Linked DNA regions of Pelodiscus sinensis. The protein of the gene in region 2 interacts with the protein of the main gene of each other region in a biochemical or structural test. Links are inferred from orthologs where the notes say so. Each region holds a gene or a part of one and is shown on either strand. Other genes may lie near its edges.

Evidence for each region.
Region 1: the proteins of GTF2B (region 2) and GTF2F2 form a complex in vitro, tested with the Homo sapiens proteins (2 studies listed by BioGRID and IntAct). The link is inferred for Pelodiscus sinensis from reciprocal best matches to the Homo sapiens genes GTF2B and GTF2F2.
Region 3: the proteins of GTF2B (region 2) and NR2F1 form a complex in vitro, tested with the Homo sapiens proteins (2 studies listed by BioGRID and IntAct). The link is inferred for Pelodiscus sinensis from reciprocal best matches to the Homo sapiens genes GTF2B and NR2F1.

Annotation. Positions count from the first base shown.
Region 1 is NC_134711.1:286,841,241-286,848,519, reverse strand, and holds the start of GTF2F2 (general transcription factor IIF subunit 2), read right to left. Parts: upstream 3,006-7,279; 5' UTR 2,784-3,005; coding exon 2,718-2,783; intron 1-2,717. UniProt on the Homo sapiens protein: TFIIF is a general transcription initiation factor that binds to RNA polymerase II and helps to recruit it to the initiation complex in collaboration with TFIIB.
Region 2 is NC_134719.1:32,367,445-32,375,351, forward strand, and holds the start of GTF2B (transcription initiation factor IIB), read right to left. Parts: upstream 3,009-7,907; 5' UTR 2,888-3,008; coding exon 2,871-2,887; intron 54-2,870; coding exon 1-53. UniProt on the Homo sapiens protein: General transcription factor that plays a role in transcription initiation by RNA polymerase II (Pol II). Involved in the pre-initiation complex (PIC) formation and Pol II recruitment at promoter DNA.
Region 3 is NC_134716.1:72,718,804-72,726,002, forward strand, and holds the start of NR2F1 (COUP transcription factor 1), read right to left. Parts: upstream 3,006-7,199; 5' UTR 2,167-3,005; coding exon 1,722-2,166; intron 1,536-1,721; exon of another isoform or gene 1,286-1,535; intron 914-1,285; exon of another isoform or gene 123-913; coding exon of another isoform or gene 110-122; intron 42-109; exon of another isoform or gene 1-41. UniProt on the Homo sapiens protein: Coup (chicken ovalbumin upstream promoter) transcription factor binds to the ovalbumin promoter and, in conjunction with another protein (S300-II) stimulates initiation of transcription. Binds to both direct repeats and palindromes of the 5'-AGGTCA-3' motif.

The sequences.
Region 1 (7,279 bases), on a different chromosome or scaffold from region 2:
AAGACTGAAGCAGCCCCCTGCCTGCAGCAGTTACCAGATAACCTTTTCACATCCCTACTATATAAAGGAATTAAAATGTTAAAAGACCATAGACTTGGTCCATACCAGTCATGGAAGTCATTTTTAAGTCATGTCATCATGTCATCAACTATCTGTGAAGAATCATAAAAAGTTCTTGCTATTCCAGTTCTCCTCCTATACAGAGTATACATAGGAAAGTTCTGTTAATAATCAATATGAACACTAGGGCTGTATCTAGACTATACCTCTCTGTCGACAGAAAGATGTAGATTAGGCATGTCGAAATTGCTAATGAAGCAGGTATTTAAATATCCCATGCTTCCTTAGCATAAACATGGCTGCTGCTTTTTTTCTAAACGGAGCTTTTTCAAAAAAAAGTCAGTCTAGACGGGATCCATTGAAAAATAAAGCCTTTTTCGACAGATCCCCGTCTAGACTGCTTTTTTTCCCCCCTCCCAAAAAAGCCCCGCTTCAAAAAAAAAAAAAAAAAAAAAAAAAAAAAAAAGCCGTGGCCATGGGTGGGGAGCCCATGCTAATGGAGTGCCGGATATTTAGCAATTTCGGCGTGACTAATCTATATCTCTTTGTGGACACAGCAGTGTAGTCTAGACACAGCCTAGGGTCCCCCTTATATCTTCATCTCCTCATTTGAAAACTCCTTGGTTAGCACAGGTAGGATCAACCCATTTTCAACAAGGCTTCATAAAACCTACTACGCAGAAACTAGAAAAACTTAAACAATGAATAGTCTAGTAGAACCTTAAAGACTAACAAAACATGTAGGTGGTAACATGAGCTTTCATGGGCAAAATCCATCCAGAAACTGACACGAAAGAGCAAATTCCAAGACCTAATGACAAGCCCACTCCTTGACTATGTCTATATTAAGGATTTTTCTGAAAATTTCTATTGCTGCTCTTTTTTTCTTTTTCTTCTCCCTCTCCTATTTATTTTGAGTTTTCATATCCCCTACTCATAACTCTGATCATCTGAAGAAGTGGGCTGCACCCACGAAAGCTCATACCACCTTCTACATGTTTTGTTAGTCTATAAAGTGCTACCAGACCATTTGTTGTTTTTTTCTGTAACTGATTAACTTGGCTATCTCCTGAAGCTCATCTACTGTGTCATCCTGAAAATTCTTAATGCAGATAAGACCCCAGGGCTATGTCTACACTGGCAGCTTCTTGCGCAAGAACAATTGTTCTTGCGCAAAAACTTGCCTGCTGTCTACACTGCACGCACATTCTTGTGGGAGTAAATTTACAGTATAGCGTTGTAAAACAGGGCTTCTTCCAGAAGAGTTATTTCTCTCCCCATGAGGAATAAGCTCTCTTGCGCAAGAGCTCTTCCACAAGAGGGTAGTGTAGAAAGGCAACATGAATTTCTTGTGCATGAAGCCCCATGGTTAAAATGGCCATCAGAGCTTTCTTGCGCAAGAAAGCGTCCACACTGTCATGGACGCTATTGCGCAAAAGCACATCTCTTGTGCAAAAGGACATGCCAGTGTAGACACTCTGGCTACCTCTAGACTGGCATGATTTTCCGCAAATGCTTTTAACAGAAAAGTTTTCCGTTAAAAGCATTTGCAGAAAAGAGTGTCTAGACTGGCGCACACACTTTTCCGCAAAGCACTTTTTGAGGAAAAGCGTCCGTGCCAATCTAGACGCGCTTTTGCGCAAAAAAGCCCCGATCGCCATTTTCGCAATAGGGGCTTTTTTGCGCAAAACAAATCTGAGCTGTCTACACTGGCCCTTTTGCGCAAAAGGGACATTTGCCCGAATGGGAGCAGCATAGTATTTCCGCAAGAAGCACTGATTTCAGACAGTAGGAAGTCAGTGTTCTTGCAGAAATTCAAGTGACCAGTGTAGACAGCTCGCAAGTTTTTCCGCAAAAGCTTGCCAGTCTAGACACAGCCTCCCTTGTGGAAGACTTTTTGCCAAGAACTGTTCTGCAAAACAGCTCTTGCGCAAGAAGCTGCCAGTGTAGATGTAGCCCAGGGTCTTAGAAGATAAAGTACGATGTGATTCCTAGCAGGGTGTAAGCCAGGGACAGTGCCTAGGGAGCCTCATCCATCCCCACCCAACAGTGTCTTAAGTCTAGCCTAAAGTTCACACCCCAGCTACAGAAAAGGGAAAAATTAATTCTCTTCTTTCTGCCAAGGCTTCCATGATGCTACTGGCATAGAGAGGCAATTACACTGTCTCGTTCCCTGTCCCCCTCGCCAGTGCTCACAGAAACAGAGCGGTAGGGGGTTGCTCCCAAGCGCGGCCACTGAAGGGGCTGGCGCCTCGCAGCTCTGGGCACGGCGCCTGACAAAGCAGCGAGAGGCCGGGGCACCTGCCCGCTGACTCTGCATCGGCTCGCGCTTGGCGGGGTCCCCGCAGCTCCAGGGAGGCCGCAGCAGCGCGCGGGACCCGCCGGAGACCGTGGGGGCGGCCAAGGGGAGTCTCCTGCGCGCCGGGCGGGCCCCGGCGGGAAGCGGCGCCGCTCAGGGACGGTCACGCCAGGCCGCACCGCACCGGCGGGGACACCGCCTCAGCCGCCAGGCCCCGTCTGCAGCGCCACCGGCCCGTCGGGGGCCCTCCCCAGGGGATCTCCCCAGCCCCTCGCTCCCCGCCGCGCTGCGTTCTGGAGGCGAGCCCCGTCCCGGCGGCGGCAGCAGCAGCGGGCCCGGGACCCGCGCGGCCTCTCACCTTCACCAGCCACATGCCGGTGTTCTGCTTGGCCCCGGTCAGGTCCAGCTCCCCCTTCTCGCTCATGGCGGCCCGGGCGAGGGGCGCGAGGACACGCGGAACGAGCTCGAGGCGCCCGCACACAATGGCCGTTGCATCCAGCCGGACAGGAATCAACAGCTCACCCCGTCTACGGCGGCCCGGCGCTGCCAAACTTCCGCGGCAAAGCGGAGCGAGGAGGGAGTGCCTCCCTTCCCCCCCCCCGAGAAAAGGCCTGATCCCTCACGCTTCCTTTGGCAGGCGTGGAGGGGGAGGGGCAGCGACTGGCACTTGGCGGCGGGGGAGGCGCCCCGGGTGTTGGGGGGCTTAGGGGCCGCCCGGCGCGCTGCAGGGAGGTTTGACTGTGGTGGGGACACCCCCAAGCTGGCAGGTCAGCGCCTAGAGGGGAGTCGCCCCCTGGTAGCTTGAGTGACAGGGCCCTGGAGAAGCTGGGCTCCTGGCCGTGCTTCCTTCCTGGGACAGAGCTGTATGTGGGGGGAGACAGACGTGACCCCTCAGAGGTGCCAGGCCTGGAGTGGGGCCGTGCCCTGCTGGTAGGAAATTACCTACTGATTATCATAGAAACAACCTGGTAGCTACTCCAGCAGCAGGGGGGAAGCCGATGTGTGAATCAATAATGGGTTACCATCATTCCTGTAAAAGCCAGCCACTCTGCAGCATCCCCAGAGCCTGGACAGGAGATGAGAAACAGGCTGTCAACTCAGATTTAGCCCAAAACTCAGGTTAAAAGCAAGCTTTCATTAAGTTAAAAACCTTTAAGGGAATAGGTGTATTTAAGCAAAAAAATCACCCACTTCCATGTTTGAAACTCAGACATTGCATCTCCGAAAGCCCAAAAATGAAATGAAGGGTTTGTCTATCTGAAAACCAGTTATTTGTAAACTATTATTCTATTCCCACTGTCACTTACTTTGGGGAAAGGTTGTGTGTGGATGCCCTTGTTTGAACACAGTAGGGAGGATGTTCAGTATCTTGAAGTTTTGCCCCAGGCAGGATTCACAGATGCTGTTAATTGAGGCTTAGGTACTGAGCCTGTGAAGGGATGAGCACAATGAAGTAGGAAGAGTTCAGCATCTTTTAATATGACCCAATGTGATTTGTTAAAACCAAACAGTAAGTGAATGGTGGGAGTTGTGTCTAAATAGCTCAAACCATATGTTCAGGTTGCACCTGCCCACTGTTTAAAAATGACATGGAATTAATTTCTTCAACTCAAGTGACATTGACAGTAATCTGGTGTTGTGATTTAGTAATTTGAATATGCATTACATTCCTCCTTTTAAATTTTTATGTTAGTTAAGTAGTATAAGTAAACAGGCTAAATGCCCAAGTAACAAACTTAGCTAACAATACTAATTTGGCCAGTTAAGTTGCTCTGTGAGAAATCATTGTTTTCATGTAAGGTGCTAAAAACTAGGAAAAATATGGCAGTGTTATTGGCTCAGCTGGTGGCTCAGAGCAGAAAGTGACAAGGCAGAATTTTCCGTTCCAGCTACAGGCAGCCTATCCAGTCCTGTTTCCATGGAAACTACATTAAGTGGGGCAATAAAGAAGCATTTTCATTAATTTCTTATTTAAAATCCTAACCTTATGTTTCACTTTCCAGTGTTTTGTTCCATAGATGAAGAATCGGAAGCCAGTAGCTGAGAGTTTGAGCTCTGTGTTTCCATTTCTGTTCCTGTTTATATACAATAAATGTAAAATCAGGGGAAATACATTACTAGGTTTTAAATTACAGAGCCTTTACTTCTGAATTTTTCATATAACCAAGTGGGCTCAAGAGATTGCACTGTAACAAGCCTCTTTCAGTGCTGCCTGAAGTCTTAGGACTGGCAGTACTGATTTGCAAGATAAAAATAATCGACGGACAAAAAAAACGGCATTATCATTAAAATTAATAGGAGTTTTGTTGTGGACTACAGTGAACTTATGTATGCTTCCCTCAGAATCAAAAGGATATCGGGGAAAATATACTCAGAGGAGTTAACACTGTCCAACCTGCACTATGTCAGCAGCCCTCTTAGAAAGGGGTAAGGGTGGCATAGATGCAGGCTGAGAAGGCAATGAAAACATACTTAAGAGGGAGAAGTTTTCACCTGTCACAAAGATCTAGCACACAGTTGGTCACAATGTCCAGAACTACTGATCTACAGGGATGAAGACTATGCCTTCTGCCTCCCTCAGGTCACTAAAACTTCTTGCTCCTGGGGCCAGTGTACAGAGGAAATTCTGCAAGATAAACCCTGAGGTTTCCAAGATTCCTTGAGCCAGTGCTGTAGATTTTAGATTCAGGATGATTAAATATAGTTCTTATACTCCCAAAGCTAAAAAAACAACCTCCCAAAAATGAGGATTTGTTTTGCAAATCCTAGCATGTTTAATGAAACATACCTTTTCAGTATTTACCCTTACTCAGAGAAATCCCCAGGAAAGTGAGATGTTGTATGTAGAAAGGGAATAAAACATAGCATGCATGAATTGTTATTTTACAATACAATGGAATGTATATATGCGCGTATGCGCATACACACACATTTCTTTTCACAAGCATCCTAGAATTTCCCACATCAGGTAAAATTACAGTTAACAAACAGCGCTGACATGGTAGGTCAAACAGATCAGATATAATCACACAAAACTGAAATGCTGAATTATATTAAACAGATGGCTCTTGACTTGTGTTTGGATTTATACACAAAGTAGATGGTGCTCACTGAATATTAATGACAAAATATTTCCATAATGTGGGTGTGTAACAATAGAACAGAAGAAACTTGCTCTAAGAGACAGAAGGACAGATTCATCACCACACTGGCTCATTTGTACAGTTTTGCTGACACAGAGGGACTGTAAATTCAACTTAATTGGCCAATTGAGGAGTTTTTCCATGTAGGGAAAATCTCCAGAGTGCTGTAGAATCACTACACTACTTCTATACTATCCCCTCCCCTCCAACAATTAGTGTAAAGGTTATTCCCAGAGTGAAAAGAGGCATAGCCAATGTATTGCTATGGCTCACTAATCATTGGTTGCCAGTATAGCTCTTTGGAGACCACAGGTAACATAGAACATCCCTGCAGCTGCTTAGAGTTGTATTAAGGACCAAAGCATCTCTGGCCAGCAACAAAAAAGCCACTTATTATTTCCTTCTTTGCATCCTGTGCCAAGTACAGGTAAACCAAATGAGAGAAAACATATTTTGTCATTTACTGGAAGATAGCCATATATGTTTAATTCAAACATTCAACAAGTACGTTTTCTTCACTTGCTTCTAACTCTTTTCACACCCCTACCTTAAACCTGAAATCCTATCCACTCAGCATGGAAATTCAGGATTTCCTGGCAGTTTTCATAAGAGCAAGGCTTTGTATCTGCTCACTGATTGGGCAGTATTTTAGTTCTACTCTCATCTGTTCTGAGTACTACGTGCACATTTTCTGTTAGCTATTTGTCATCTCAAAGGCTATATCAGTAATGATTGCTGTATGAATATAGTTCACAAAGGCCTTTGAGAATCTTCAGAATAAAAGATACTAGCTAAATGTAAGCTATTATTACTACTAACTGGGCCTTTAAAAGAATTTCACCAGCACTATAGATGGACCAAAACCAGAACACTGTATGTATCCTCCAGCTCCCCTCCATGAATTCTGTGGATCTATGTTTTTATACGTTACCTCTTGCTGTGGAATCTGAATGTCTTCTGGTTCTGGATGCTGTGATACCTGAGGCATATCTCTATAAGGGACACTGAATTTGAACACTCCAGAGTCTGGGAAAATTCAGATTTAGATCAGGATCTGAACTCCATAGCTCAGCCCATTCCAGGCAAAAAAGAGATGATGGATAATAGTTTTCATTCAAACCATGAGTGATACAGACATTTTATCAGAAAGAAAACTGATCCAGGGACTGCTCTTTCTTCGATCTTGTCAGCAAATGACTCAGTAACAAAGTGAAAAAGGTGCTGAACAGTTTCAGAGAAAAAACCTAATAAGAGTTACACTGCCAAAGAGATTCATATCCTCCTTAATCAAATAGGCCAGGTTTTTCCTCCTTTCCATATTGGCTTCGCTGACACTGGGGCAGGCTTTTAGGTATAATTGTCCTCATTCCATTGAAATCCATTGACAATTTATAATCATTTGCACCAGTTTAAGCCCTGCCCTATAAACTTCCCCAATACTTCCACACCTTCTGAGAATAGTGTGTGACAGGTTCCCTTTGGGCTGTCACCTGGTGTGCTGGTCATGCCACTGAGCCTGCCGACTTGCCCTTTGGAGTGCCCCATCACCCTATCCTGCTGTTCCAGAAGCTCTGATCTTCCCCAAACAAGTCACAGTGTTACGGTAATGGCCCTTCAGCAGAACAACATAGATGTTGAACCAGCTCAGCTCTGGGAGGAGTCAGCTATAAGACTATTGACAGAATTCAGGAACATAGCCCCAAAGAGAAGCAAAACCCAAATAAATCCATCTTACTCTGCATAAAAGTTTTACATAGAGTAAAGTTTGCCCTCTTTA
Region 2 (7,907 bases):
CTAAAATGGAATCTGGATGATTTGGACATGTCACTCTGGGAAGCACATCCAAACTAAGAAAGAAAAAGACTTTTATGTTTAACGTGCACCACAAATCAACTGAGTAATTTACAAACAATATGCAAACTGTTTGGGTGGAGTAGTACATTAGGAGCACTACGTAGGATTTCCACACATAATTCAATAAGATAGGATTTCTTAAATCCAGTTTAAAATTCTTAAATAACTTGCCTCATAAAATCCACAAGGATTACTTTATTTAGTAAAGTGCTCCAAACATAACACACACACACACACACACTTATATATATATAGTAAATTATACCTGAAAATCCATTCTTACTAAATAAATGCCTACCAGAAATCAGTGATAACCATGTCTTTCTAAATAGTCACTCCTGCATTTGGCTAGCCATTTTTTAAAATCCAATTAAAATATTTCTTCGGTAAGCAGTGCATTCTTGACTGTTTTAGAAAACAACTATCTTCTAGCATCCCATGTTCACAAAGCTGACTGCGTATTTAAAAAAAGTGAACTGAATGTAGATGCACAAAGCAGATCTGAGGTCTGACTATCCTTTATCAGCAGCATGATGTACAGGGAAATGCTTCAATAAAATTAATGGCCATGATGTTTACTCAAAGCTTGGCATTTACTTTACTCCTGCTACAAGTTGTGATAACACTGGAAAATGTTTACTAACTCTAGAGCAGATACAGCAGAGGAAATAGTTTGACCCATCACAGTACCTTTAGTCCTGGTTTGAAAGCACTCTCTCCACCCATAATGAAGAAAGAAGATAGTTCAGGCATAGAGACCAATCAATCACTAACCTCTGCTGATAAATGTCTAAAAGGGAAAATTGTGGCAAGAACCCAAAGACTAATCAGATGTAGTTGTCAGTACTGCTAATCTGGCCAAATCAGGAGCCTACTGATACAGGGCATTCCTGCTATAAATTGCCCCGGTATACATTGGTTCCATACTAGCTTTTTTTTTTTTACTGACTGACTGACAGACACACATACACTTCCCTGCTTTACACCCTTTTACTATACACCCATGATGTTTAAAGGTATCTTGGACATATAGCGAGGACACCCTGTTCCACATGATCATGACAAGAAGGAAAATTGGGAATAATGGAATATTGCCTAACAATGAATGTAATGGGTGTGAAATGAAAGAGTTTTTAACATAAGAACAGTCATTCAGGGTCAGACTACTGGTCCATCTAGCCCAGTAACCGGTCTTCAAAACAGTGGCCAGTGCAAGGTGCTTCAGAGAGAATGAACAGAAAGGGCCATTAGCAAGTGTTCCATCCAGTTACTCAGGCCTAGCTTCTGGACAGCCAGAGCATAGGGTTATATTCCTGACTTTTTGGTTAATAGCCATTGATGGATCTAGCCTCCATTATCTATTTTTTTAACAGTTATACTTTTGGCCTTCACATCATCTGTTGGCAATGAGTTACATTAAGCATTGTGTGAAGAAATACTCTTTTTTACTAGGAAACATTTAGAAGAATCAGGATGTGCAACCAGACATGGCAATTCTTCCATCCACATTAAAATATGAAATTTGTGGAAAGGCCCGATTTAACCTTAACGATAGTTTTACACAGCAACACAGTAAGAACAAACTATCCATTTTCTAGGAGACATTGGTTTTAGACCAGAATGCATATTTATTTAAAAGATCAATTATGTAAATTAACATTTAAAGTGCTAGGAAGCAGAGATTTGCAAAATGGGAGTGGGGTGTGCACACAGGTGCAGGTGGTAGAGCAGAAGGGCTCCAGGAGGGAGCACCACTTGCACCCCACCTCAACTCTGAATGTCATTCAGCATGCAAGTCTATATCAACATCTCTGTGCCCACTGTTGACTCAGGCCCCCTGCAATGCTCACATACATATGCCATCCCCTTCTGAAAACCTGAGCATGGAGGAATAGGTATGGGAGTGGGGCACACAGCCAAAAATTGTAACTCAAGGGGGGGGGGGGAAGAGTACTCAAGTTAAAAGAGTTTGAAAGCCACTGCTTTAAAGTCTCCCATCTACCTACAGCAGCAGTTCTCCCACCTTAGGTCAGGACCCCAAAGTGGATCACAACCCCTTTTTAACAGTGTTAGACCTACTGGGCTTTGAGACCAAAGCTTGAGGCCAACCGACTAAGGCATCAGATTACAGGTCTCCCGAAGTCTCTGGGTTTCAGTTCCCCATGCCCTCCCCTCCCCCGAACGTAGGACTCGGGCTTTGGCCCTCCTGCCTGGCGTACAGGATTCACTGGCCAGGTGCAGGCGGGAGGTGAGGGCTGTAGGGGTAACCATCACCGCCCTAGACATCTCCGACTTCCTAGGCCAACCTTTGCAGGCTATTCGCAGCAGCCCACCGGCCACCCCGTCACTTGTGAGCTCCGAGGCCGGGTCACAAAACCCTCGGAAACGGAAGCTCAGGCGGAGCCCGGCGCCCCGATGACCACGGGCCGGAACCTGGGCCTGGCGCACAAACGCTCGTCGCTGCTTCAAGCAGGAGGCGGCGGCGGAGGGAAGGGGCCGCACACGGAGAACCCGGCTACGGAGCCCTTGGGAGCGGAGAGGGGCGCCACAGCGAGGAGATCAAAGCCCCCCCCCCCGGGAGCGGAGAAAGGGCCCGGGGAGAGCGAAGGGTCCGGGGGGGGGGGGAGGGATCGGGACTGACAGGCAGGAACCAGGACCCGAAATAGCAGCTGGGGGGGAGGGGGGGGGTTCAGCGTTGCTGACCCGGGAGCTGAATCTGCGGAGCGACGCGGCCATTTTCTCGCCCCGGCCGACAGCCCGGAATCCCGGCCAGAGACCCCCAGGGGCCCTAGGCCGCCCGCTCCCCTCACCGGCTGGTAGACGCCATGTTCGTTCCTTCCTTCCTTCCTTCCTTCCTTCCTCGTCCCTGTCTCCGTCCAGGTCTGGGTCAGGCGCACGCAGCCTACCCCCTTATATCTCCTCCGACACGGAAGGCGGGGCTCTGCCAGGCGGTCGCTACAGGCTGCGCAAAGGGACAAACCAGAAGGGTTCGCGTTCAGCTGCCTTAACGTAAGTGCCGGGAGACGGCAACAGCAGCGTGGGGAGCTGCGCGCCGGCGGGCGGGGCGTTACAGCGGCTCTGTGCCCGGCCTCTGGAGTCTGGGCCAGGTTCCTTTTCCATTCCCAGGGCGCGCCGCTGCCCCGCGGGGACCCTGCCCAGTGGGGGCTCGTGCTCAGCGTTGTAGCCCCGGTGACCAGCGGCCACAGCCTGTAGAATTGTGGGCGGCGCCCAGAACAGGGCCCGGCCCCTCCCCCACCTGCCTACGGCTCTGGGCGGGGCAGGAGGCTCTGGGCTGGGCTCTGGGAGGGACTGTGGGTGCAGGCTCTGGGCTGGGGCGGAGGTGCAGGAGGAGGGGAGGAATAATACAGGCTCTGGGGGGGAGTTTGGGGCAGGAGGGGCAATGCAGGGGAGGAGGCGGGGGTGCAGGCTCTAGGTGGCAGGTTGAGGTGGGAATGCAGCACTTACTGGGATACGCCCCTCTGGCATGGCTCCTGGGAGAGGGTGTGACAAGGTATCTCACATGCCTCTGCTCTCAGGCTCTGCCCCACAGCTCCCAATGGGCATAGGGGCATTGAGGCTAGGGTTGCCATGCAAAGACCACTGGGATGTGTCCGCCGCTAGGCAAGCGGTAGGAAGCTGTTCTAGCCCTGCGGTGCTGCCGGGGGTGGCAGACAAGGCCTCCAGGCCATTTTAAATTGTACAGGTGAGGTTGGGGGGGAAGACCCAGCCCCAAACTGCTGCAGCAGAGCTCCCAAGCCAGGAATGTTCCTGGTGCCCACTCAGCGTGGGTCCATATCACTTGACACCTCTGGCACTGGCCCTCTTGCTACTTTTCCCTTGAATAGACCTTTGCAGTATCCTGGGCACAATCTTCTCACACAAAGGAAGCTAACCCTTGTACTCAATGCCATCTGCTGCTATATTGCAGGATGCTGTAAGCCCATGGTCACCAACAGATCAATCGTGAGGCCTCAACCAGTTGATTGTGAGGTGTCCGGGCCCTCCCCCCATTTTCCTCCCACCCCCGAGAAGCCCCACTACCTACCTCCTGCAAAAATGGAGGTAGTGCCAGCTTCCCACGGGTGGACGGAAGTCCTGCAGCTTTGCGCCACTTCCGGGGGTTCCGGAAACACGCTGGCTGCTCTGCCAGGCGCGCTGCGGGAGGGGGTTGGGTTGGCCCTGGAAGAGGAGCACCACGACTTCCCTGCACCAGCGCAGGAGGGGTGAGTCTGCCCTGGGGCAAGTGCGCACAGGGTTTCCCTGGTCTGGGGGGGGGAGGTGTTTCGGCCCTGGGGCAGGTGCATGCAGGGTTTCGGTCCTGGAGCAGGCGTGCGCAGGGTTTCCCCAGCTGCAGAAACCTGTTCCCACTGGCTCTCTGTCCCCTGCTGCAGAACCCTGTCTTCTGCCCTCCCAGCACCCTGTTCCCTTTCCCCTGCCCCCAGCCACAGAACTCTGTTCCCACTGGCACCTTGTCCCCTGCCAAAGCACTAGCATCCTTCCCCAGTACTATGTCCCCTGTTCCTACCAACACAGTTGGGGCCACATTAATGAAGCTTGGAGGGGGGGGGGGGTTGCATCTCACTTGTGTGGCCCCAACTGACTTTTCTTGGGTCAGTGACCCCTGACTCAAAACAGGTTCCCTGCCCTTCTCAGAAATAAAGACAATGCAGAAACTTTTTGTTTGACATAGTATTTTATTTAAAAATGAAGCCTGGCCAACAAACCCCAAATTGGGGCCAAGCCCCCATCTGGCCACAGCATCATAACACTCCAGCACTCCCCTTTCCCCCAGACCCTACATATGAGCCTATCATACACTGGAACCCCCTGCCCTGAGCCCCTCACATACCCCAACCCAAATTCCTGAACCCTTACATCCAGAAGTCTGTGGCTTGCTTAGTACCCTAACCCTACATCTGACCCCAACACTGCCCGGCCTGGCACCCCCTCCCTGAGCCAGCATCCCCTTATCTACCTTCTCCTACATATAAATTTCCTCCCAGAGCTTGCACCTCTCACCCCTTCCCACACCCAAATCCCTCATTCCCACCCCAGAGCGTATACATCCTGTCTCAACCAAGCAAGGTTACAGCTAGACTGCGGGAGTTTTTCAGGATTCCGGAGATATCCCAGAAAAACACTTCTGCATCCAGGGATGCATTTGTTCTTCTGCTTCTTTTAGTGGAAGAGCAAACATGATCTTTCGGTCACCCCTATATTCCACTTTCCATGAGCAATAAGGGGGCTTCCAAAAGAAGGGGGTTTTCTGACATTTGGTCCAGACTAGACAGGCCAAATGTTGGAAAAACCTCTTTCTACAGAAAAATTGGGGGAAAAAAGCAGCAGTATAAGGGTTGAGGATAGCAAGTGACGGAGAGGAGGAGAACAGAGAGGGCGAGGCTTCAAGGAAGGGGCGGGGCAGTAGTTCTTGGCTTGTTCTGTCATTTAAAAAGTGATCTTGGGTGTAAAAAGGTTGGAGACCACTGCCATAAGCCTACCCGCATCAATCCTCACAGACATTGCTGCTGCTCCTGATATATGCCTGGAAGTTGCCAGTAGAGTGCAGCATACAAGATAATGCAGAGATCTGAGACCTAGTATAAAACACCAACACTGGTCGGTTGACTAAAGCCACGACAAAGTTTTCTTTACGTGCATATTTTTATCACCCTAACAAACAAAGGTTCAGTTACGGTAGATAAGGGTTGAGAACAACCTGCAAACTGGCTCCCACCGGTCAAGCATCTACCACCTGGTGCATATTATGAGGGAAGATTTTGACAGCCCAGCAAACTGCCTTGACTGCTGCCAGTACTGGAATATTATTATGCTTATTGACAAACAGGAGCTGGAAGGCCTTTGTAGCAGCCTTCACATAACTAAATAGATTGGGGTGGGCAAAAGAGAGAAGGTGACCTTGAGAAATAAGCATGATCCTTTCTTATTAAGCTCTCTTGAAAAATCTGAAGTCTCCGCCTTTAAAAAAAACGTTGTCTAGCTATACCTTGAAATTGTGTAGAAATACAGCTGTGGGACCAATGGCTTAAAATTGCTTGCTTAATGGTTTTTTGTTGATTGACACACTGATGTAATTGTAGCAGTTACTAACATAAAAATGGTAGATAAGTCTGAGGAATTTGGATTTGACCTGAACATCTATTGGAATCCCCAGCCACAGACATATAGCTGGCCACTTACACAGTGTGCATTGACTGCACAACACCCCTGCAGACTATGGGTAACTAATAATTAGGGATGCTCTATGCCTTTTGCATATCTGTATGTGCTTGAAATCTAATAAAATAGTAAGCTTGGGTAAAAGTATTGTGGGTTTCTGACAAGCTTTAATCAGATGGATGTGCTTTGATTTTTTTCTTCCTGACATTGCCTTCCAAAGACTATAATTAGCCCAAGCTTTGAGTTGAGAGAAACTCAGGTAATGCACATCAACCCTGAACTACATTGTGTTATATTAATAGATTGCACTGTAGTTGATTAAGTGAAGGTACATCACTGGCCCCTCTACTGGGGGCAGAGAGCTTCAAAATATGAAGGATCAATACAAACATAAGATTGGCTATACACATTCAAACCAATGGTCCATCAAGTCCAGTATCCTGTTTTTGGACAGTGGCCATTGCCACATGCCCCACAGGGAATGAAAACAACAGGAATCATCAGGTGATCCACCCCATTGCCTATCTACAGCTTCTGGAAAATAGGTCAGGGACACCATCCTTGCCCATCCTAGCTAATAGCCATTGATGGGCATACTCCATCTAGTTGTTTTTCAAACTTTGTTATAGTCTTGGCCTTTACAACATCCTTTGCAAAGAGTTTGACAGAGTGACTGTGTGTTGAGTTAAAAAAAACACTGTTTGTTTTAAAATCTTTGCCTATTAAATTCATTTGTTTAACCCCTAGTTCCTGTGTAATGAGGTGCAAATAATACTTCCTTATTTACTTTCCCCACATCGATCATGATTATATAGATCTCTATCATATTCTCCCTTTAATGTCTCTTTTCCAAACTCAAAAGTCCCAGCCTTATTAATCTCTCCTTGTATGGCAGGCATTCTAGACCCTAATAATTTTTGTTGCTTTTTCTGAATCTTTTCCACTTACGATATACCTTTGAGATGGGATGGCCACACCTGCATGCAGTATTCAAGATGTGGGTGTACCCTGGATTTATATAGGAGGAAATATATTTTCCATCTTATTATCTATAGCTTTCTTAATAATTCTGTTTACTTTTTTGATTGCTGCTGCACATTAAGTGGATGTTTCAGAGAACTAGCCATGATGACTCCAAGATTTCTTTCTTGAGTAGAAAGAGCTAATTTAGACCCCATCATTTTGTATGTATAGTTGAGATTATATTTTCAAATGTGCATTACTTTGCATTTATCAACATTGACTTTCATCTGCCATTTTGTTGCTCACTCACACAGTTTTGTGAGATCCCTTTGTAATTCTTCACAGTCTGCTTTGGACTTAACTATCATGGACTTGTACCATCTGAAAATTTTGCCACTATGTTATTTATGAAGATGTTAAATAGGACTAGTCCCAGTACAGGACCCTGAGGGACACCATTATATACCTCTCCATTCTGAAAACTGACCATTAACTCCTCCCCTTTGTTTCCTGTCTTTTAACCAGTTACCAATCCATGAGAGGGCCTTCCATCTTAACCCAGAGCAGCTTTCTTTGCTTGAGAGCCTTTGGTGAGAGGACCTTTCCAAAAGTTTTCTGAAAATCTAAGTTCACTATATCCAGTGGATCTTCCTTCTGCACATGCTTGTTGACCTCTGAAAGAAATCTAATCGATTGTTGAGGCATGA
Region 3 (7,199 bases), on a different chromosome or scaffold from region 2:
TTTTTATTACACGGAGCAAGCATCCGATACGTGCCCAGCAAAGTTCTCGCTGATAGAAGGAAGAGAAAGATTAAATATTCGAAAGGGGGGGAAAAGGGTCTGAACTTACAGTAGCCAAACATTAGTGAAAAAATGCGATGGTTTAATTAATATCTTTGCTGCGCTGTTGCCACTGCAAAAGCCTGTGGACAGCTTTGCACAGTGAATGCACAAGCTTGCAACTGCAAAAACACTGGATTCATTAACCATCTCAATACAAAACGTAAGCATGCTTTGAGTTCCTAAAGCTGACCAAAGTTTTTTTTCCGTGTGTGTATGTTTTACTTCATCAGCGCCAGTGTTCCAAAGTGCATGCCATGTCAACAAAGGTAATTCAAGGAGAAGATACAACCACTGTGGCATATTAATAACACACCCCTATATATAATTTATCTTTCCAGTTTAGAGCGTGCAATATTTCCGTAACTTTATCATTTATAATAGTATTGATGAAATTCCAACTGAGCCCTTGAAATCTAAGTGGCTGGACTCTTCCCTCCCCCCTCCACCTAATTATAGTTTTGAACTTGGCAGTTATTTTTCAATTAAATGAAAGCACAATTCTAAGTTTGCTTTTTTCCCCATACGCCTACAAATAGCTCCCTGAAGCTACAAATGAAGTCGTCATACGTGCGAGCTCTTCCCAGGTCTGAAGGAACTCACTTTCTTTTCTTGTGGCATAGAAAATATAATTTTAAAACTAATTAAAGAAGCAAGTAATCCCCACGCCACAAAATTGATTGTTTCGCTTCTTTGCCTATCAGACATCTTTAACGATAGTCACAAGATGAACTTTAACTGTAAATTGATATATATATATTTAGAAAATACAGTGCAGCAAATCTTGCTAGCGAAAAATGAGACACATTACAAGCAAACATCAAGAACAACTCTAAAAAATAGCATTTGAAATGGTGGGGACAGCTCATGCCAGAAACAGACTATGTATTATGCTAAAATCAGGAGGACCGGTAAATATGTTGTAAATTGTAATTTGTATGCAGTATTTAAGCAGAGGGTAGAGTTTGATGGAAAAATAAAATGAACAGCATGCTAAAAAAATGACAGAACTATAAAAACAAGGTTCAGTCAGAAACTTTCCTTTGAGAGCATGGAGTGAAAAGAAGGCCAGATCTTGCAAGGAGCAGACTCTACCATACTGGCAAGCACAAGGAACCTGAGATACAGTAGCATATTTCTCCCCCTTCCTTTCTCTCCCTTCCTCCCCCCCCCCCCCGCCACTTACATGTCTTTCATCTTTCTTTCAGGAAAGATGATGGTGGAAATGGATCTACTGCGAAGTGTTGTGGGTTTTTAAATTGTACATAAGGAGGGAAGGAGGGAGGGGGAATAGAAGGAAACCCATCTTGGAAAGAATGATGTCCCCCCAGCCTCATGCCAACAATAGACAAAACCACATCCACATACAGAGAGAGATCCGAGTGATCCCGGAGAAATAATAAATATTTAGTGACTGATCATCATAATAAATTCCCATCCCAGTGAGCAGGGCAGGGAAGAGTGCGGTGGTGGTGGCGGTGATGGGGGGGGGGGGGGGGGGGAGGAAAGGAAGAGGAGGGCATCAGCGCAAACCAAAAGCCTGGGTGCAAAGCTGGCGAGGGCTTGCAAACACACACCGAGCTACAGAGCGAGGGAGAGTAGAATAGGGAAGAAATATTCACCTTCCCGCCTCATGCCCACTTTGAGGCACTTCTTGAGGCGGCAGTACTGGCACTGGTTGCGGTGGTGCTGGTCGATGGGACAGTTCCTGTTGGCACGACATGTGTACGTTAAGTTCCTGCGGACGCTCCTCTTGAAGAAACTTTTGCAGCCCTCGCAGGTGAATTGGCCGTAGTGTTTGCCGCTCGACTTGTCCCCGCAAACCACGCACTCGATGTGCTGCTGGCTCTGGCCCGAGCCCTGCTGGCTCTGGCCCTTGTCGCCGGCCGTGCCCGGAGTCGAAGGGGGTCCCGGCTGGCTAGGGGTCTGCGGGGTGTGCGGGGCCGCCGAGGCCGCTTGCTGCTGCTGCGGATCCCGGGCCGGCTGAGCTGCTGGGTTGGGGCCGCTCGGGTTGCCCCCGGCCACGTCTTCCTGCGGATCTCGCCAGCTGCTAACTACCATTGCCATATCTCGGGCCCACAAAGTGCTGGGGAGCGGAGCTTCTCGCGGAGGGCTGCCGGGGAGAGGAGGGGGGCGGGGGGGAGTGGGTGGCTCGGATTTGGGGGAGAGAGGAGAGAGCAGGAAGCTTGGCTGCCGCCGCTGCTGCCGCTGCCCTTGTGCTGCTGCTGCCGCTGCTTCTTGGAGCTGTTTCTGCCGTTTTCTTTCTCTTTATTTTTGCAACCCCCTCCTCGCCCTCTCCCTCGCTCTCTGTCTCTCCCGCTTTGGGGGGAAGGGAGGGATGAAGGATTTTGTGGGGCCCCCCCCTTTTAAATATTTTTTTTCTCAAGTTGCCCAAAGCGAAGCGGCCGGCAAGGCGGCGCGGCGGGGAGAGGCATGCAGGAGAGGCGCACGGGGGAGGCGATCGGCCGACACACACACACACACAGCGCGCGCCCGCCACACAGTCCGAGCGCTAGGAGTGCAAAGGATGTGCAGACATAGAGGAAGCTGGAGGAGAAGGAGGAGCAGGAGGTCGGTGCCGCCGCCGCCGCCGCCGCCGCCGCTGCTGCTCGCTGCCGGGGCCAGGCCGGTGCTGGTGCCGTGGTTGTCCCCCGCTGCCGCCGCCGGCGCTCTGGGCTCTTTGGGGGGCGCAGGGCTGGGCGCGGATGGTGGAAAGCGAGAGAAAAAGGCTCCCGAAGATCAGGGGATAAAAGTGTCCGGGGGCCAGGTCCAGGGCAAAACGCAGTCAGCCATTCAGGAAACCAGTCTTGGGAAACGCGCTCGAGGAGGGATGGAAGATTAGACAGTTTGATGTTGTTGTTGCTGTTGGTGGTTGTTTCTCTCTCTCTCTCTCTCTTTCTCAAAGAAATACAAAAGCAATTGGATGTGACTAATTCGCAGCGGAGACGAATTCACGACGAAGAGTAAAAAAATAAATAGAGGATGAATAATAATGGCACAGGCAGAAAACGAGAGATCCAAAGTAGGTCGAATAAATAAATCCTCTTCTTTCCCTCTTTCTTGCCCCTTCCGTCTTCTTCGGTGATAACACACGGGGCTAGTTACAAAAATCACTGGAGATCGCCGAAAAATGTTCTCTGTTTTTGGTTAAAAAAGTATTTCAGATAAAAACTCATCAGCCAGGACCAAAACCTCCCCCAAAATAAAAAAAAGACAATAATAGTAAAAAAAAAAAAATAACGATGATGTATTAAGATATGAAAGCGTCCTCTCTCTCTCTCTCTCTCTCTCTCTCTGGGTTTCTTCTTTTTCCTTTTTCTCCTTTTTAATTTTTTTTTAGTTTCACCTCTCTCTTCTCCTGCAGGAATGAAGCGAAAGACACTAAGAGGAAGGGTGAAAAAAAAAGAAGAAAAGGAAGAAGAGGGAGCTGAAGAAAAAAACTAATAGAATATGCAAGAAAGGGGGGAGAGAGAGAGAAAGAAAGAGAGAGAGAGAGAGAGAGAGGGAGAGAGAGAGAGACCCAAAAAATGAATGCGTTTAAACGGGAAGACTAGCAGAGCAATGTTTCCGAAAGGGGGATCTGCGCGAATGTCTGTATATAGTGAACTTTGACACTACTATTGAAACTGACACGTTTCTATGGAGATCGCTGCCTTATATGGAGCTCATGTCAAGGAGCCAAGAGAGGGGCTGCTGGCAACTGATAATCAAAGGCGACTGACTGGTCAGAGCCCTGAATTGGGGGGAGAGAAAATGGGAGGCTAAGGTTAGCCAAGCCTCCTTCACGCCATTGGTTAAGAGGCCCCCCTCTTTTTTTTTTAATTCTCTGCTACCTACTGACTGGGTTGGGGAATGAGGGAGGGGGGAGAGAAGGGGAATCTTCTGACAAGCACAATTTACATTGAGATCGCCCTGCGCTGCTATTTACTTTGAGACCTGATTAGTATGGGTCGTCTATGGTCATACACACTCACACACGCACACACATCAAAAGGACGGGGAAAGGGGGAGGGGAGGGGAGATGCATTGCGATAGGGGGAAAGAGGAATTAAAAGAAAATTATTTTGGCTCACGCAGAAAAGTAAGTTTTTTTGGGGGGGTTATTATTTAGATTGCTGTATTTAGATTGCTGTATGTTTCCAATTGAAACCCCCCTCTATTAAGTATTTTAATTGCTGAAAGTAAATATGCTTTGTATAATAAGCGATATAATACATATTGGAAAACGCAAATATATATTTATATATGTATATGTTCAATTTTGCTTTTTTCCTCCCATTTATTACCTAAAATATTCTTCCTCTTTTGATATTTTTAATTACGCTCAGTGACACTGGTGGAATTCTCGGTGTCGTAAAATGAGATCAGAAACCAACACTTTCCCCTGGACGGGTTATTATTAATTATGATGATGATTACACTTTCCAGCAGTGCTCCTTTCCAAGGCTGTTTAAACAGCCAGCAATGCTTCAATAATTATTAATAAAACACAAGTAAGTTCTCGTTTTGTTGTCTGGGAAGATCAATGCTTGTAAACGAAAGTCCCAGGAAGAGGGAGAGAGAGAGAGAGAGAGAGAGAGAGAGAGAGAGAAGGTTGGAGTATGTGCATGGGGAGGAGGAGGGGTTTGCTCTCTCTCTCTCTTCCAAATGTCTAGTAGAGGAATCGCTGGATCCGGCTGCCATCTAGCGGTCAGGAACCGAGCTTAGTAGCTGCAGCCAGCAAAGTCCTCAGTTCCCCCCTTCCTCCTCAGTGCACAAAGCCCGTGCCTTTTCTAAAGCAGCAGGAAGCCACAAAATGTTCTCATGACTTTTATTTTCTTTTTAAAGAAGCTGCTTTGGAAAGCAAGGAACCTTCTTCTCTTTTCAACGGCACACCTCTTCTAGCCTCCTGTCTCCCATCCCTTCTTCTCTGCAACGTCCCCTTAAGTGCCCTCTTTTAAATGCACTTTGGGTCGAATGTCTGTCTGTGGCAAAAAAGAAAACAACAACAACAACCCCCCCCCCCCCACCTTCCTGGGCTCCCCTTAGCTCACATCAAAGTTTTAAATCAGTTTGGAAACCAAGCAAAACCTGCAAGAAAAGGGAATGCGAAATATTAGGAAGCTTTTTAATACGATTTTCTATTCATTAACAAAACAAGCACCTTAGATGTGCTTCGATAATGGGTTTATTTTCCTGTCAAGCCCACAGATGTAAGATTTTGAACAAGTTTGAGCGGATGATTTCTAAAATCAGAATAAACGGGTTGTTTTGTCCTGAAATAATGAAGAGATTTTCAATGAGTCCCCTGGCCAAGCCGCCCCTATTGTATATTGCATTGATAAAAAGGATGTTATTGACTATGCAACAGTGGACTCCTTTCCTCTCTCTCCCTCTTTCCAAATAAACTCTCGCTCCTTGCTCCTGGTCAGTGAAAAGGTGAAACGAATAAGATTAAATCAGACAAAAAAAGCAGGCTCTGTATGTATATCATCTAGATTTTACTCCCCAGACTGTGAAGAGACAAGGAGTAAAAGAGGCAGAGCAAGGCACAGAGAGGGAGAGAGACAGAGAGAGAGAGAGAGAGGGAGAGAGAGAGCCAGAGAGAAGGTGGACGGACCGAGCAGTTTGTGCTTGCTCCTTCTTGAAAAGATTTCCTCGGAGCCTGGATCGCTTCAGCTGGCACCCAGAACCGCGGTCAAAGCAGGCTTCACCAGGCAAGTACTGCTTTTTTTCTATTCTGTGTTTCTAGTGGGGTTAACATGGGAAGCAGCGTCTGTCTACATTTCATTGGAAACCCACTGTGATGGAGTTATAGTAAAGGAGTACTTTGCAAGGATAACTTTTGCTTCTAGCATTCAGGCTGCTTTCCGAGACTCGTCAAACAGCCCAACTTGAGAACATGGCCCGTTATTTCGGCATTTCACACATATTGAATCTGATTATAGGAATTATAGATGGGAGGTATGCAGAGCCTTCAGTTTTTAGCTTTTTCTTATGAGCCCAGTTTCTCCATTCAACACACAGATACAGAGATATGTGCTTGTATCTATATACACTTTCCTTAGTAAGGTAACGCGCTTACGTTTACCTTTGTGTATCTACGGAAATATTATAGACCCAACTGACGCATAAACACCCCTTCCACATAATTATTGAATAGAACTTTTACTTCCAATAATGTTGCTAGGATCCCTGCTACAGAAATGCAAGCATACTAATGCTCCTGTTTTTCACCTGCTCTGTTTGTTATTTGATCACCTAATGAAAAGATCGATGGCAACTTGTTTATCTGGGAGATAATGTCAACATATTAAAGGGGCAGCAGCAATCAGCTCCCACTGACCTGGGGAACAGACTACAATACGAAGAAAGCAAAAAGCAATTCAAATTGCTCTGATCCAGAGGTGTATTTGCACTCCACTGTAGTTGCGCGGACGGTGATGATCATTTTCTTAGAAAGAATCAGTTACCTGTATGTTCTAAAAGCAGATAGTATCAGGAACTGGGTAACCTACGTGAATGCGGTTTTGATTCCCGACGAAAGTCCCAGTTCCTCTGAACCGTTGTGTGAGTGCTGGGAAGTAGACTGAGCAGCTGAACTGGGGAAGCAGCCCAATGCCTATCTGATGCCTAGGTAAAAACAAGAGTCCCTTGACAAGATGCATTTCCACCCCCGACAAATTACAATAAGACTTAAAAAGGGTGACAACGTAAATGTAATTTGGAGATGAACTTTTACTATTTCTTAATTTGACCTCTGGGACCTACCAACTGGCCAGAACAGACCACGATAACAACCGTGCTAAGCTAGGACTTTCTCAGACTTAACCTTCTTTTGGCATATTAGAATTTACGTTCATAAGATGAGAACACAGTATGATATGTTTCAGTTTGTTGTTGTGTGTTATTCTGGTGAAACGCAAAAGTGAACTGGGTTTTACTTTCTTCTTTTGCTTCTGTCTACACTCTTGTACCTTCCGGAAACAGAAGTTTATTATCTAGCTAGGTTGAGAATCTGTAACAAATTATAAAAGTGGGTTTTTGAGGGGTGTGAGTGGGGGGAGTATAGGACACAATAGAAGTGATCTTTCATTATAAGAGCATGGGGCACGGGGAAA